Coturnix japonica: one gene and its partner. Each later gene encodes a partner of the first gene's protein in a complex. Links are inferred from orthologs where the notes say so. Each region holds a gene or a part of one and is shown on either strand. Other genes may lie near its edges.

Region 1 (7,597 bases):
GGAACCACACACCGGGCGCAGCGACCCTTAACCAGCCCCAAAAGCTGCTCGGTTCCTCCACATCATTTGCTAATTAAATCCCACTAATGAGAAAATCAGGATGCAGGAGCTGACAGAGCAACGCTGCCTCCTGCGCACGCACTCCTCGCGGACTTATCACTCGTCACAGGATGTTTACAATAATTTTTAATTTGTGCAATTATTAATCATTTTTTCTATCTGCCTCATTTGCATAATAATTACTCTGCTTGGTGTTTGCCATGACTGTGAATGACAGTGTTTTAAATTAAATTAAGATTTTAATATTCCTTTTTCTTTTTTTTTTTTTTTCTTGGTTAAAGCTAATCAAAGTCGCTGTTAAGATGCCAAGAAAGGGACTGCTGCCCTTCCAGAAACAATAATCAAGTGATCCACTCCCCAGCACTGCTCACTTTGTCTCTATATCACCCCTCTCATCCCAAAGGATCCCAGAGTGTTTCCCAATTTCTCTGCTGCCACAACCGCTCACACACAGCCATGTCAGACAGCAGAGCTGTGCCAAAGCAGGACGCAGACCAAGGGCAATGGGACAAGCCATACTCCCTCCTCCCTGGCCAACACATGTTGCATTCACAGGGTCAGAATGAGAAGGCATACATAGGGAACAACTTGTGTGCTCAGACCTCAGGTGGGGCTCCAGAATACGCAGCACACCCCAAACACCCCTTAGCACATGTGTGCTGCGGCGCCCAGAGCTGCACTTATACCTTATGCATCCAGCCCTGGGCAGGGGCAGCCCTCTGTGCCACAGGCAAGGCCAAACCCGGTGTGCCAGCACCCTCTGCCGGCTGAAATGGCCTGGTGGGGGGAGGCAGCACTCATCCTCACCGCCCTCCTGTTCCCTCTTGAGGTGTACGAGCTCTCATCAAGGTGCAGGCAGCTTTCCTCTTCTCACTGTCCAACTCAGATGCGTTGGATACCTTGCACACGAAGCCACCATCCCACATACTGGATCCTGCAGTCATCACAAGAGATACCAGAGCCCAGCTCCATACTCACAAAGGGTTTCTGCTGCCTTTGGAGTCACTCTGAGAGGAAAAGGGCAGATGTATTCACACTCACTTGTGTCAGATCTTACTGCCCACGCAGAGCTGTGTCCCCAGCCCCCCCTCTCCACTCTTCAGACACAGATGGGACACTGCAAAGCAGCTCTGGGCTGGAGGTGTTCCAATCCAGCCTGTTTGCAGACACACGTGATCCACCAACAGACGGAGACAGGCAGCTCCCCTGGCCCTCCTGAAGCTGCAGAGCCATTTCAAAGCCCGTATGTTATTATCCACAACAGCCATCACAGCATTTGACAATTTGCATCTGGGCAACGATACAAAAGGCTTCATTTTTATGTGTAAATTACACCAGCTAAACTCTCCTGTACTCCACTGCTTTGCACAGATATATCTTAGCAAGAAAGTCTCCGGTAATAAAACCATAATACACATATTATAAATTCAGCACTGTAATGAACTCTGCTATAAGGTCCCCGTGGTAGTAATAAACATCTGTACCTACATCTACAATTTTAAAACTGCAGCCTTGAAAAGAAGTTGAGAAAGTCTTCAATGCTCCACTTGTATGCCAGCTCCTGAACCGCCTTCTCATTGGCCATCCTGGCAAAGTACTGCTGCTCAAATCCATTAGACCTACAAAATAACACCAACAAGACCATGGGCTACTGTGCACATCTACTAGAGCTCCCTTTTGTCCCAGAGCATGTCCCTACCAGCCATTCATGACTGTAAGCAATGATAAGATTGAATGCATTGCATCTCACTAACTGTAAACTCTCTAAGTCAAAAGCTCATTTAGTTTTACTACCAATGACATCAGTGTATCAGGAATACCCACCAGTCCACGCCATCCCAGCGATGCCCAGGCCATATATTAAATCTGTTGAGAGGAGGTGCTGGCCCACTGTACCTAGGTTTCTCTAGAGACAGAAACAGCACTACAGCCATTTGTTTCTTCAGTGCAATCCTGTGGTCACATTATCCCCAGCCTGGAACATATACACAGACCCAAAGCACTGGCTGCATTATAGCCAAAGAGCTCACAGTGGAAACTCCAGACAATACCATTAAAAAAGCTGAAGTTTGTTGACTACTTAAGTCACTAGATACTGCACTCTAAGCAGTAACAGAAAGTGCTAACAGGTCAATAAAAGAAGATGCCACTGTGGCACTAAATCCTGAAGGAGAACTTGAGGACTCAGCTTTACCTGTGTGAATTCATCAGCATGCCTGGATGCCAACCAACACAGATGCTCCCCAGCAACACTTTAACTACCAGCCCTCTAAGACAAACCCTGATACAGCATTAACAGGCAGCCAAAAGCAGATGTTGTACAGTGGTTTGAGACCTTTACCTTCCAAGTACTTGCTACTTCTCTCCTGCTTCCTGAGCTCCTGCTGCTCTCTCCACAGCATGTCAGCTGACACCAAGCCAGCTTTGACCCCAGACATCATCTTGGCCTGCAAATCAAACAAGAATCACATTTCACTGCTTATAATAGTAAAAACATTCAGGCAGTAATGACAGCAAGATCCACCCTCACCTCCTAAAAGCTTCCACTGTTTGTTCTGAACTCCTCCATGAGCTTCACTTCATCTGGATGCTCATCAATAAACTGCCACCTGAAGCTCAGATAACAGACCAAACAAACAGCTTAAGACAATAAAGAAAGAGATCCATGCTCTCTAAACAAAAGGGTCCGGTGGAGCAGCTTGGGAGCTTCTTCTTGCAGCGGTGGCGTTCAGTTGTGAGGTACAGTGGTGACACTCATTGGTAGAGCATCTCAGGCTCACAACCTTCCGATGCTGTTGCTATGTAACCCTTCCATACAATGTCTGTTACCAACCCGTTGTTTTTAGTTAGAAATGCTTTCTTGCAATCAGGGATGGAGCGCAGCGCTCTGCTTGGCCTCCAGCTGCAAGCTGGACAAATCTAATCACAAGAGAGAGGTTATGCTTCGTGCTGAAGCGAGCCCCCAGGCAGCAGCGCTAAGAGCCATCAGCAAGGCTGTCCAGAGAGAAAGCTGTAGGGACTAATCCATGACCATTAGCTACTCTGAAGAAAATAATGGCCAAGGGAAACAGTTTAAATGGCCTCTGCGTGTTTATTGCCACAAGAAATTGACCCCCAAGGAGCTGCTGGAGCTTCTGAAGACTTTGCTGTCAAATATAACATGGCGTGTTGTTCATTCAGCCATTTCTAGTAGAGAACTAGAGTTATATGTACAGCAAGCAGCTTCTTGCCACATACTGACCCACCTGGCACAGCTCCCATAAGGGCTACAGGAAGCTCTGCTGTGCTAACTTCACTGCAAGCCAAAGACTCCAGGAACCAGAAGGGTTAAGAGTTACACAACATTGAACAAGCAGAAGCTCTCTGGGCTCATTAGCAAGGACATGGAGAACATGGGGCAGACATAACATGAGCCCACAGGTAAATCAGCTCACAGTATTAAGTTGTTTCAGAGCAAAAAACACCCTCTGGAAGAACTCAGCCATAGCTGAAACCACAACCGTGTGCTGCAATAGGCCAACACACCAGATAGGATTAACCCTCCATGACTTAAATCCCAGCATGCTTCCACCATGAAATAAACCTGAGATTTAGGACATCTGAAGACCTGTCAACTGCCTTCAGAGGACAAAGCATTTGGCATAGAACATTTCAACACAGTTTCTACAGTTTATTAGTAAAGAAATAAGTGGGTCAGACACCAGTGTCTGCAGCACCTCATGAAGGAACACCAGGGAGCAGAAGTGTTCCTCTGTGGGCAGCAGCCACTCCAGTTTTTGGCACTGGTCCTTTCTGGCTGGCAGGAAAATCCTTTTCCAGCAGCTCTCCTCTAAACACAGCCTTGCTTCCAAGAAGACAATCCACTGGGATACTGAATGCCAAGAACAGTGCTTGGTCCAGGCAGAGGAGCCGTTACTTTTGGCTCTGGCAGTGGTAGCAGGCAGATCTCAATTCAGTCGTGCTGTTTCACATGGTTATTTCTTCTATCTACATGTCTTCAATGCTCCACTTGTATGCCAGCTCCTGAACTGCCTTCTTATTGGCCATCCTGGCAAAGAACTGCTGCTCAAATCCGTTGGACCTACAAAATAACACCAACAAGACCATGGGCTACCGTGCACATCTACTAAAGCCACAAAGCTTTTAAATGACATCACATGTTTGCCACTACTTTTGCATCAACACCTCCAGCTGAGTTTCCACTCTGAGCTGTGGCAAACAGCAGGCAGTGCCACAACAGATCAGAACAGAACCTGGCTCCCTTTTGTCCCAGACAAGCATGTCCCTACCAGCCATTCATAACCATGAGAAGTGTTAAGGTTGAATAAGTTGCATCTCACTCACTGTAAGCTCTCTGAGGCAAAAGCTCATTTAGTTTTACTACCATTCAATGACATCAGTGTATCAGGAATACCTACCTGTCCACCCCATCCCAGCGATACCCAGGCCATATATTAAATCTGTTGAGAGGAGGTGCTGGTCCACTGTACCTAGGTTTCTCTAGAGACAAAAACAGCAATACAGACATTGGTTACTACAATGCAATCTTCAGGACTCAGCTGCCACAGCAACCTCACACTGTTCACTGAACAGCAGCTGCATTTCTATGCTCCTTGGGCATTAAAACCTGCACCAGCACAGCTTTCCATACCTTTCTTCTCCTTGTTCTCTTTGGCTTTTCTTTTTTTGATGAACTCAGCCATGGGGTCTCCTTCTCTCTCTTGTTCTCTCAGCATTCGATCCAGATCTTCATCGTCAATGTAACGGGCCAATGGTTTCTGCATTTCTTTTATTGCATCTTCCACATTCTGCTGCTGCTGCCTTTCCTGTGCTAATCTAAAAACACATACAAAGTACCACCTCAAAACTAAGGAATAATTTACTGCCATCTGCTCAAATTGTAGTATTGATCAGAATCTACTGTGTGTAGCATCCCTGAGAAGCACCCAGCAACAGACAGGGTAATCCCACACAAAATAACCTGGTCCCAGGCACAAAACTCATTGCCAACCCCCAGTCTGCAACCTGTAAAGTGACATGTCACCAAGACACCTTACCCCTTTCCCCATCTGGCATATTGCTCATCATGCAACAACTTTGCTTCATCTTTCTGCTTCTGCTCAAGACGTTCCTGCACAAGGTCCCTCTTGCGGCCTGACTTGTCGCGGAAGATGGTTTCCGTGTGTCGGGATTCCTCTAGGGATAACAGATATCCTGAGTCACTCACGTGGGAATATTTCAGTTTCCAAACCACTCCATAGCTCATGCAATGAGCTATAGGTGTAACAGCCTGCTCCTTCAGATCAGGAATAGCAGATGGGGCAGATGAGACACAAAAGCCTCACAATTGTCTCATTGGCACCTCTTTGAAATCACCACTCATAAATTTCTATTTTAGAGACCCAGTGGCTTTTACCTGTGTATATTCATCAGCATGCCTGGATGCCAGCCAACACAGACACTCTCCATCAACACCCTTACTACCAGCATTTTAAGACATGCCCTGATACAGCATTAACAGGCAGCCAAAAGCAGACTAAAAGCTGATGTCTGTGCACTGGTTTCAGACTTTTACCTTCCAAGTGCTTGCTACTTCTCTCCTGCTTCCTGAGCTCCTGCTGCTCTTTCCGCAGCACGTCAGCTGACACCAAACCAGCTTTGACCCCAGACATCATCTTGGCCTGCAAATCAAACAAGAATCACATTTACTGCTGGCTGAGAGCTGCCCAGTGACTCACAGGTATGATAAGGGGAAGTTACACGAGAGGCAGCTCTGTTACAAAGCCACTTTGCTGCCATCTTTGCAAACAGCTTCCACAGACTTCCAGAAATACAGAGTGCTCATGCAGAGCTCATCTTCCATCTACCTCACACGTGGTCTTATGGCAAACTGACAGTGTGGCACAGCTGCATTTACAAGCTATATATCTGCTCTACCATCTGTAAGCCATCACACTGTTAATGATTGCTATCAGAGGAAGCAATCTTCAGCACAGACGGAAAGACAAACCCCTTACCTTCTTGGGAGATCCCTTCTCATCTGGGTAGCGATGATCTGAGAGATTGGAGGGACTCCTTGAACCACGCTGACCCTTTCCAGAAGGCAGAGCCCTTTGAGGATGAGAGAAATTGGAGCATGAAGACTTGCTCTAAACACATTTAAGAGGACCGTGCTTATGAGAATCACTCATAATTCACATTATGAGAATTCACATGTGGAATAGACCTAACCTGTGATTCTTCCGCTGGGGAGAAAGGTCTGCCTCAGAGGCACTTTGGGCACCTCTTCGTGGAGGTGGAGAATCAGAGTCATGACGCATCTTTTTTACCGAGGAAACATCTGCAACACAAACATACATTAATAAGAACCACCAGAGGCCTAAAGATGGTGACAGATGAGATAACCCACAGTAAAATCAAAACCTTCAGTGAGGTAAAGCTGTAGGGAAAGAACAAGCATTGACATCAGCCTTTATGTTCCATTCCTTCTGAACATGCACTGTTCAGAGACGAGGCTTAAACTTCATTTTCCCTTTGGACAAGCATTTAAGACTTACACAAATTACTTTTAGGTTAATTCTTCTCAAAGTAATCAGAATACAGCATGACAACAAGTTTTACCAACAGAAACAATAACCCATCCACCACAACTCTATGTTTTTGCATTACGCATTCTTATACATGCTCACCTTTTTTTCCCATTGCTGAACTGCTTCTTACAGGAGAGAGATCCGGAGAGTCGTGACGTTTCCTTCTGGGGGGTGACAGGTCGGGGGAGTCGTGACGTTTCCTTCTGGGGGGTGATAAGTCCGGAGAGTCATGGCGTTTCCTTCTAGGGGGTGACAGGTCAGGGGAGTCGTGACGTTTCCTCCTGGGAGGTGACAGGTCTGGAGAGTCATGGCGTTTCCTTCTGGGGGGTGATAAGTCTGGAGAGTCATGGCGTTTCTTTCTGGGGGGTGACAGGTCAGGGGAGTCATGGCGTTTCCTCCTGGGAGGTGACAGGTCTGGAGAGTCATGGCGTTTCCTTCTAGGGGGTGATAAGTCTGGAGAGTCGTGACGTTTCCTCCTGGGGGGTGACAAGTCTGGAGAGTCGTGGCGTTTCCTCCTGGGAGGTGACAGGTCTGGAGAGTCATGGCGTTTCCTTCTAGGGGGTGATAAGTCTGGAGAGTCATGACGTTTCCTTCTAGGGGGTGATAAGTCCGGAGAGTCATGGCGTTTCTTTCTGGGGGGTGACAGGTCTGGAGAGTCATGGCGTTTCCTTCTGGGAGGTGATAAGTCTGGAGAGTCATGACGTTTCCTCCTCGGGGGTGATAAGTCTGGGGAGTCGTGGCGTTTCCTCCTGGGAGGTGACAGGTCGGGGGAGTCACGCTGTCTTTGCTTGGAAGGTAAGAGGCTGGGAGAATCATTTCTTTCTTGTCTGAGTGGGGACAAATCTGGTGAGTCGTGCCGTACTCGCCTTGGTGGTGAGTTGTCTGGGGAGTCATGACGTTGCCTAAGAAAGTTAAATAAGAGTCAGCTTACTCATTTTCTTTTCTTG
Region 2 (6,424 bases), on another chromosome or scaffold:
GATTCAGTGGTGCACTGTTTGTTTCTATGTGTAACGTTCCCTGTGTGCTGTGGATCAGTGCACCTGAGCAGCTCCTGAGCTGGGAGGCGCCGGGTTCATCTGCTGAGTCCGGTTTCCAAATACTTTTCTCCAGGTTGCTTTTCTGTTTCGTTGCTTTCCATCACTGTGTCTCACTTCCCATCTTAAGCCCTTAGGAGAGATCGAGGTGTTTTGACTACATCCTTGTGGCAGGTTGGAATTGCTCAGTCCGTTTTGGGTTGGGTGTATACATAGAAAACATTTTGTCCTGTGAGTGTGTGTGTTTGTGCCTGTATATATTGTTGTCTGTGTATATGAGTGCATGTACTCTTTTGTTTTAATATCAAAATCAGCTTGAGTGCAGAATGTATTTACAAAACAGCATTTCTTTCTGGTTTCTGTTCCTCGTTTAAAGTGTTGGTGTTTTATTTTTTTTGAGAAAGTCCAGACGTTGTTCTTGTTTCGTCCTCTGGTCAGGAAACCCCATCGTGCTGGAGCTCTGCCACCCCAGCACCGCGTAAGGCGCAGTTCCTGCTGCTCTTCTAAACACGAGTTTGAGAACTATAAGTTCGTGTGTGAATGGCTGTGAGGCTGCTCAGGAGCTGCTGTGTCTGTAGGGACAGTGCTGGTGTAGCAGTGAGAGTTCCTTGGCGTATTGCAAATGAATTGAGCTTTCTCCACATGTTCCTCTTGCACTTCGTGCAAAGTCTTTGGCAGTGACTGCAGGATGGTTACTGGTTTGCATAATAAAAGATCTGTAATGTGAAGTAGGATTTTAAATAACATCTCTAAATTTGGGATGCAAAGATTTCCAGTGCGAGCTTAGCTGGGTGTTCAGTACAACTGCATTGCATTGGTAAGAGCATGTTTTTCATTACTTTTCTAACAGAAAAAATGTAAACGTACCCAGTTCACCCCCCACGTGTGAGTGCAGTGCAACATTTGTCACGCTCCTCTAAAAGCACAAGGAGCTGCCTCAGGGACACCGAGCTAAATATATAGCTGAGGTCATCATTGCTCTGTTCAGCATCTACTGGAGACAGACAGCAAACCCTGTTTCACTGCTTGTTCTCATGTAGATGGTGACTTGAAGGTGTCACCTTTTCCATTGTGGGCTGTCTTCTGAACTGCTGTTTAAACCTGACAGAAACTTTCATGGTCCATTTAGGACAGAGCATGCACGGCACCTTATCTGAGGAGCACAGCCACAGACAGTGCAGCGGGGGGACCTCATTGCTGCTCCTCAGCTGACCCCCTTGCTGGCAGCAGTGCCCTCAGTGCTCCGTGTCTGCTGCACGTGCAGCCTGAGCCCATGGCCTTTACCTTCTGTCTTAATGAAAATTACCTGCAGGGCTCTTCATGCTGAGACTCACAGTTGTTCATGCTGCAGGTCTTATCTCTTCAAAGTCAGTGGGCTATTTAAGTAACGTTAAGCAGTGCCTCTCATTTTAGAAGGTTTTTTAGTGCTTTACTGTACTGCTGTCTTGTCTCAGCACCGGGCTTGTATTCAGATTCATTTCTGTGAGCAGTTTTATCACAGTATGGGAAGACACAAACCAATACTGAGAGCTCACTGTGCTGATGCTGCAGCACACATGGATGTACTTTCTGTGGAAAGCATTAGAGGCAAAGAGGCAAAAGAGAGAAAACAGTGCTGTGTTGTGGAGAAGAGAAGTTGAAGAAGGAAAGAGAATGACCTGCTGTGCGGGCCCACAGCTGCAGCGAGGGGAGAACAACGTTGTGCTGCCACTTGTGATTGAGGAGCACCCTTGCTAGACATGATACATGAAATGAAGGGAAGCTGCTGTCTGGAACCAGAGCTGACTTTTCTTTGGATCAGTTGGCACAAAATGGCCAGTTTGTCACTGCAGGCACCAGCACCAAAGCACCAAATGCCAACATGTTTCACTGGCTGCTGGTGCTGCAGATGAAAGGAAGTGCCGGCAGCTCCTCCCTCCTGCAGGGCACGTCTGCAGTTGTAAGCAAAGCTGATTTGGTGCCTGAACCTTGCAACGTCATACAGATTCTTTTATTTCAATGCAGTCTTTACCGCTAACAGGAAAAGTCATGGAAGGCAGTAAAACAACAAAGGCCCTGTAAGAAGCGCTGACTAGCAATGTCTGCTTGATTCTTGTTGACATCTGAGCAGTGGATGTAGAAGCCACCAAACCATCATGAGGATAATACCTTTGTCTTCTCTCCTGACACTCTCTAACCACGTCAGCCAGGTGGCATTTTGTTCCTTCCCTGCTGCCCTGTGAATGCCACATCCATCACTGATGTCAAATGTGCGAGTGACGAACTATTCCCAGTAACGTTAAATTAGCGCAGCAAGTGAAGGTTTGTGAGTGTTGCCAAAATGCATTAGGGGTAATATTGTGGGAAGTCTAGCTATGGGCTGAGGGATTACTCGATTGAATTGCTAGTCACAGCTGATCTGACTATTTTAAATGATCAGAACCTAATTAAATGGAAACACACAGGCAGATAATGAATGGAGCTGTCGGCTAGAAAATCCTCCAGTATTAGATCAGAAGTTTCCTTTAGGGGTAATTAAAATACGGTGAATGTATCTTAGGCTGTGTGTTAATCACTGGTATTAAAAGTAGATCTGATATTGGCCCAAGGAGGGCTTTGAAATTGAGTTTTCTATTACGAAGCTGCTGAAGCCAGTGCAGGGTTGTCAAACCCCCTCTGCTCTCAGGAGGTTCCCCCAGTGTGATATCTCCAGCTGCAAATGAATGCATCTGTTCCAGCCTGCATTCATGTATTTTAATTGCTCTTAGAAGTCACGACCTGATTGCAGAATATTAACACACCTTTGGGGAACTGAGAGAAGTTTGGAACGCTCAAACAACAACAAAGTGTTTGCAGGGACCTGTTCAGGCAGGTGATTGGCAGCAGCCTCTGGAACTCAGCTGTGCTTTCTGCAGCCAGGTCTTTGTGTTGGTCATGGTTATTGCTGTGTTAGCCAGGTGGTGCAGTGAGGTGCAGCCCTGAGCTCTGCTGGCTCCATAAGCTCAGGCTGCTCCTTGTTGTCCCACAGACACTCGTATGGGCTGTGGTTTTGGTTCCTGGATGTGGCCTGGCTGTGTTAACACAGATGTTGTCCAGCTACAGCCTGCATTTCTAAAGGCTCTGGATCCCCCCGGCATCAGTGGGCTTTATTTACTGCTGTTCTAGGTATAGCTGTTTTCACATTTAATTGAGGACAGTGATGTGGATAAAACCGGTAAATACCTTGGGACCAAGATGTGATCCCAGCAGGACCCCCTGGAAACAAACTGACTCAGTGGTTCCTATTTGAAGGCAGATTTTCACACCTGTCAGCCAGACTTTAGATTTAACGCGTGCTGTGTTTGCATCATTCTGGTTTCTCCATCAAAATATCAGCACCTTCCAGAAGTCCGTTCCACTGACGCTGTTATCCCTATTAACCACATCTGGTGGCTCAGAGATAGAACGCTGCCTGGCAGACTCTGTTTTCCACAGAACCTTGTTGATTGCCGTTACTTATTTCCTTTCTTTCTTAATCATGTCCTGTCTCCACTATTACATTATTTTGCTGGGATAGATGCCAGGAAGACGGGCTTATAATTATCTGGATCAGCCATTTATCCTATCTAAAAATCCTTTTCTGGAATTTTCCCATTGTTCCGTGCTTCTTTTTTGGATAAGGAGGGGACAGGAATAAAGCACCAACAACAGACCACAAGTCTTCAGGCTCCTTTTAATGTTTCAAAGCAAATATTTGGATACGTTGTATTGAAAAATGAGCAGCCGGGGATCCTCTTCAATACAGCCCATGATGAGGGGTGTCCACGATGCGATGCTCTGCTGCCTTCCCAAAGCCCCCCCAGGTTCATCACTGCAAGCAAAAAATGGGAAGTTAATGAAAACAATTGCTTTCTTGACCCAGTCCGGTCTAGTTTTCAAAGCTCATAGTAACATTTGAGATACAAATGTATGGATGTAACACTAGCAAATGAAGCCATTTTGCAATGGATTTGTTTTTTCTTGCACACACAGCTGTCCACAGTTGCTCCTTCTCCATCTGGCTGCTTTCTTTGCACAAAAGGGCTGCCCTGTTTGGGAGGAGATATCTTTGCATTCTCTCTGAATATTTGACTTTTCCTTACTGTGTTTAAACTTAAACTCAGATCCCAGATCTGAGAGAAAAGAATCTTACCTTCCATCTTGCGTGACATTATCTCAAGTTTTCCAAATGCAGTTGCTGATCCCTTCCCCTGAACACAGCGGTGTAAAAGTCTGGGGGAGTGGGTGGGCAGAGACGATGTTGGATGTGGGAGTGTTGGATGTCTCGGTGATGCTGTGACAGCTGGAAGTTGTCTTTCTCTCTTAGAGTGGTCGGCGGCTTTGAGACTCTGACTGCTATGGAGAACGTGGAAAGTGACCCCAAGACGGACCGTCCCAAGGTAAGTGGGAAGTGACGGGAGCTGTGTGGGGATAGAGAGCTGCATGGCGTGGTCACCCTGCTGCTGCTGCTGCTTCCCTGGGCCAGATGGTGCAGTTTAACCAGAGAGTCAATGTTCTCCTCTTCTGTTTGCAGGAGGAAATACGAATCGAGGCAACAACTGTTTTTGTTGACCCGTATGAGGAGGCAGATGCGCAGGTGAGGATGGCGTTCCTTCATTTTTTCAGTTTTTGCCCTGGTTGATCCCTTGTGGAGACCATACACTTTTCTGTGCCTCCTCTTTGCACCACCCCTGCATGCTGGAGGCTCTGGACCACACGGGCACAAGGTAAATTGGAACAGCTGCTCCTTACATTGCATTGTGTGCAGGGAGCACCGCTGCTGTTTCAGCTGAGAGGTCTTTGGAGCTCGGTCTGGCACAGTTCCCCTCCTCACCATTAACAGTAGCTTCCTTTCCAAATGCCCACTATGTGTGGAGGTGGGAAAGTTTTATTGTAATGGCTGCAGACAGCAGGTTTGTAGTGGCTCTTGAGGTCCATTTCCTAACGTCAACCCTGTAATTGCAGCAATGCTGATTGCTGTCTTAGAGTGCTGTAGAGCTTCAAAGAACTACAGTCATGGTCTCCTTACTCTGGACGAGCTGTTGTAACAGATTTCACTCTGCTTCCCATAGGTTGCTGCAGAAAGAGAGAAGGTTCAGCTGGAAGAAGAAGCAGCCAAAACAAAAGCTGAGATGGTCCCACTAAAGAAAGAGGTCCAGACTCCTAAAACTTACCGGCAGGGAGTTGGAAAATACATTAACATGGCTGCAGCGTAAGTTCCCTGCCCAGCAGATCTTTGTTCAGTTTTAGTTGCCTTTCCTGCTGGATGCTGACCTTGCCCGTTGCTGTTTCTCGGGGCTACCTGCTAGAGCATGCCACACACAAGGAGCAGACTTAGCCAGCTGCTTTACACCTAGTTCCCCATAATCCTTCTGCTTCCACATGACTGGGTGAGAAGTGGGGGCAGCTCTTGTGGCTCAAACTTTCAGCAACTGTGCTAAAAAAGTGACTGTTAAATCTTCTGCTCTGACCCGGAGAACTTGCTGGGGTTTGAACACATTCCTGGAAGTGCTCAAGGCCTGACACGAGCATCCCTGCAGACTGTCTGGGTGAGCCAGAAGCCCCAGCCCTGCTGTGCCAGTGCAGGGTGCGCACTCCTCTCTGATTCATAGCTGGCTCCAGTGTAGCTGTTGCAGGGAGAGGCAAGGCAGCCAGCTGCCCTGCTCCCACCCAGCAGTAAATAGTCCCTAAGGGGTGTTTTCATTTTGGTTCCAGGAAGCGCAGCGTGGAAGATGATGGGCCCTCAACAAGCACAGCTGCAAAGAAAGAGAAGAAGAGCACAGGCTTTGGGGACTTCAGCTCCTGGTAGCAGCAGCACAGCAAAAAAGAAGAGGCAGCCTCCCACATGGCCATGAAGAGCCCGAAAGACCATTTGTCCTGTGGAGAGGGAAGGCACCCGCATTCACTGTAGAAGAAAACTGTTGCTTTGTTAAGGCTGGTTAATGTGGCTTTGTTTTCAGGAGATCTGCGTTCCCCCAACTGCATCTTTCTGGAAGGCCTTTTTGTTGTTGTTCAGCTGAGCAGGGAGCACAGCTCCGCTGGGGATTAGCTGCAGCCTTTCTCTGCACAGCCAGCAGCAGCCCAGGCAGAGCCCAGCTTTGCAGGACGCTGCCTCAATAACAGCTGCACTGTGAAAGAGCTTCATTTACAGGTAATCATTTCCAGGCAAGCCAGGTCTGCTGGACAAATTGGTGTGTTGGGGAAGCGCCTGAGCTGCTGGAAGGCGCTGTGCAGGGGAGGACAGGGCTGGGCTGCAGCCTGTCCTGCTTCTCCCTTCCAGCTGCATTTTGCTTCTTCTCAGAAAGGACCAATTCCACATGTTCCTTCTGCCTCCTGGCTGGATTGGCTGCTGTCAGTGTCCACAGGGCCC

The links. The genes of interacting proteins can lie anywhere in the genome.
Region 2: BUD13 (region 1) and PPIL2 share a complex: the UniProt entries of both Homo sapiens proteins name them as parts of the minor spliceosome. The link is inferred for Coturnix japonica from reciprocal best matches to the Homo sapiens genes BUD13 and PPIL2.

What each region holds. Positions count from the first base shown.
Region 1 is NC_029539.1:4,395,948-4,403,544, forward strand, and holds the end of BUD13 (BUD13 homolog), read right to left. Parts: intron 7,553-7,597; coding exon 6,750-7,552; intron 6,401-6,749; coding exon 6,292-6,400; intron 6,172-6,291; coding exon 6,078-6,171; intron 5,742-6,077; coding exon 5,636-5,741; intron 5,257-5,635; coding exon 5,118-5,256; intron 4,897-5,117; coding exon 4,712-4,896; intron 4,561-4,711; coding exon 4,479-4,560; intron 4,142-4,478; coding exon 4,048-4,141; 3' UTR 3,132-4,047; downstream 1-3,131. UniProt on the Homo sapiens protein: Involved in pre-mRNA splicing as component of the activated spliceosome. As a component of the minor spliceosome, involved in the splicing of U12-type introns in pre-mRNAs.
Region 2 is NC_029530.1:445,835-452,258, reverse strand, and holds part of PPIL2 (RING-type E3 ubiquitin-protein ligase PPIL2), read left to right. Parts: intron 1-3,728; exon of another isoform or gene 3,729-3,886; intron 3,887-4,207; exon of another isoform or gene 4,208-4,381; coding exon 4,382-4,454; exon of another isoform or gene 4,455-4,588; coding exon 4,589-4,651; exon of another isoform or gene 4,652-5,126; coding exon 5,127-5,266; intron 5,267-5,769; coding exon 5,770-5,863; 3' UTR 5,864-6,424. UniProt on the Homo sapiens protein: Has a ubiquitin-protein ligase activity acting as an E3 ubiquitin protein ligase or as an ubiquitin-ubiquitin ligase promoting elongation of ubiquitin chains on substrates.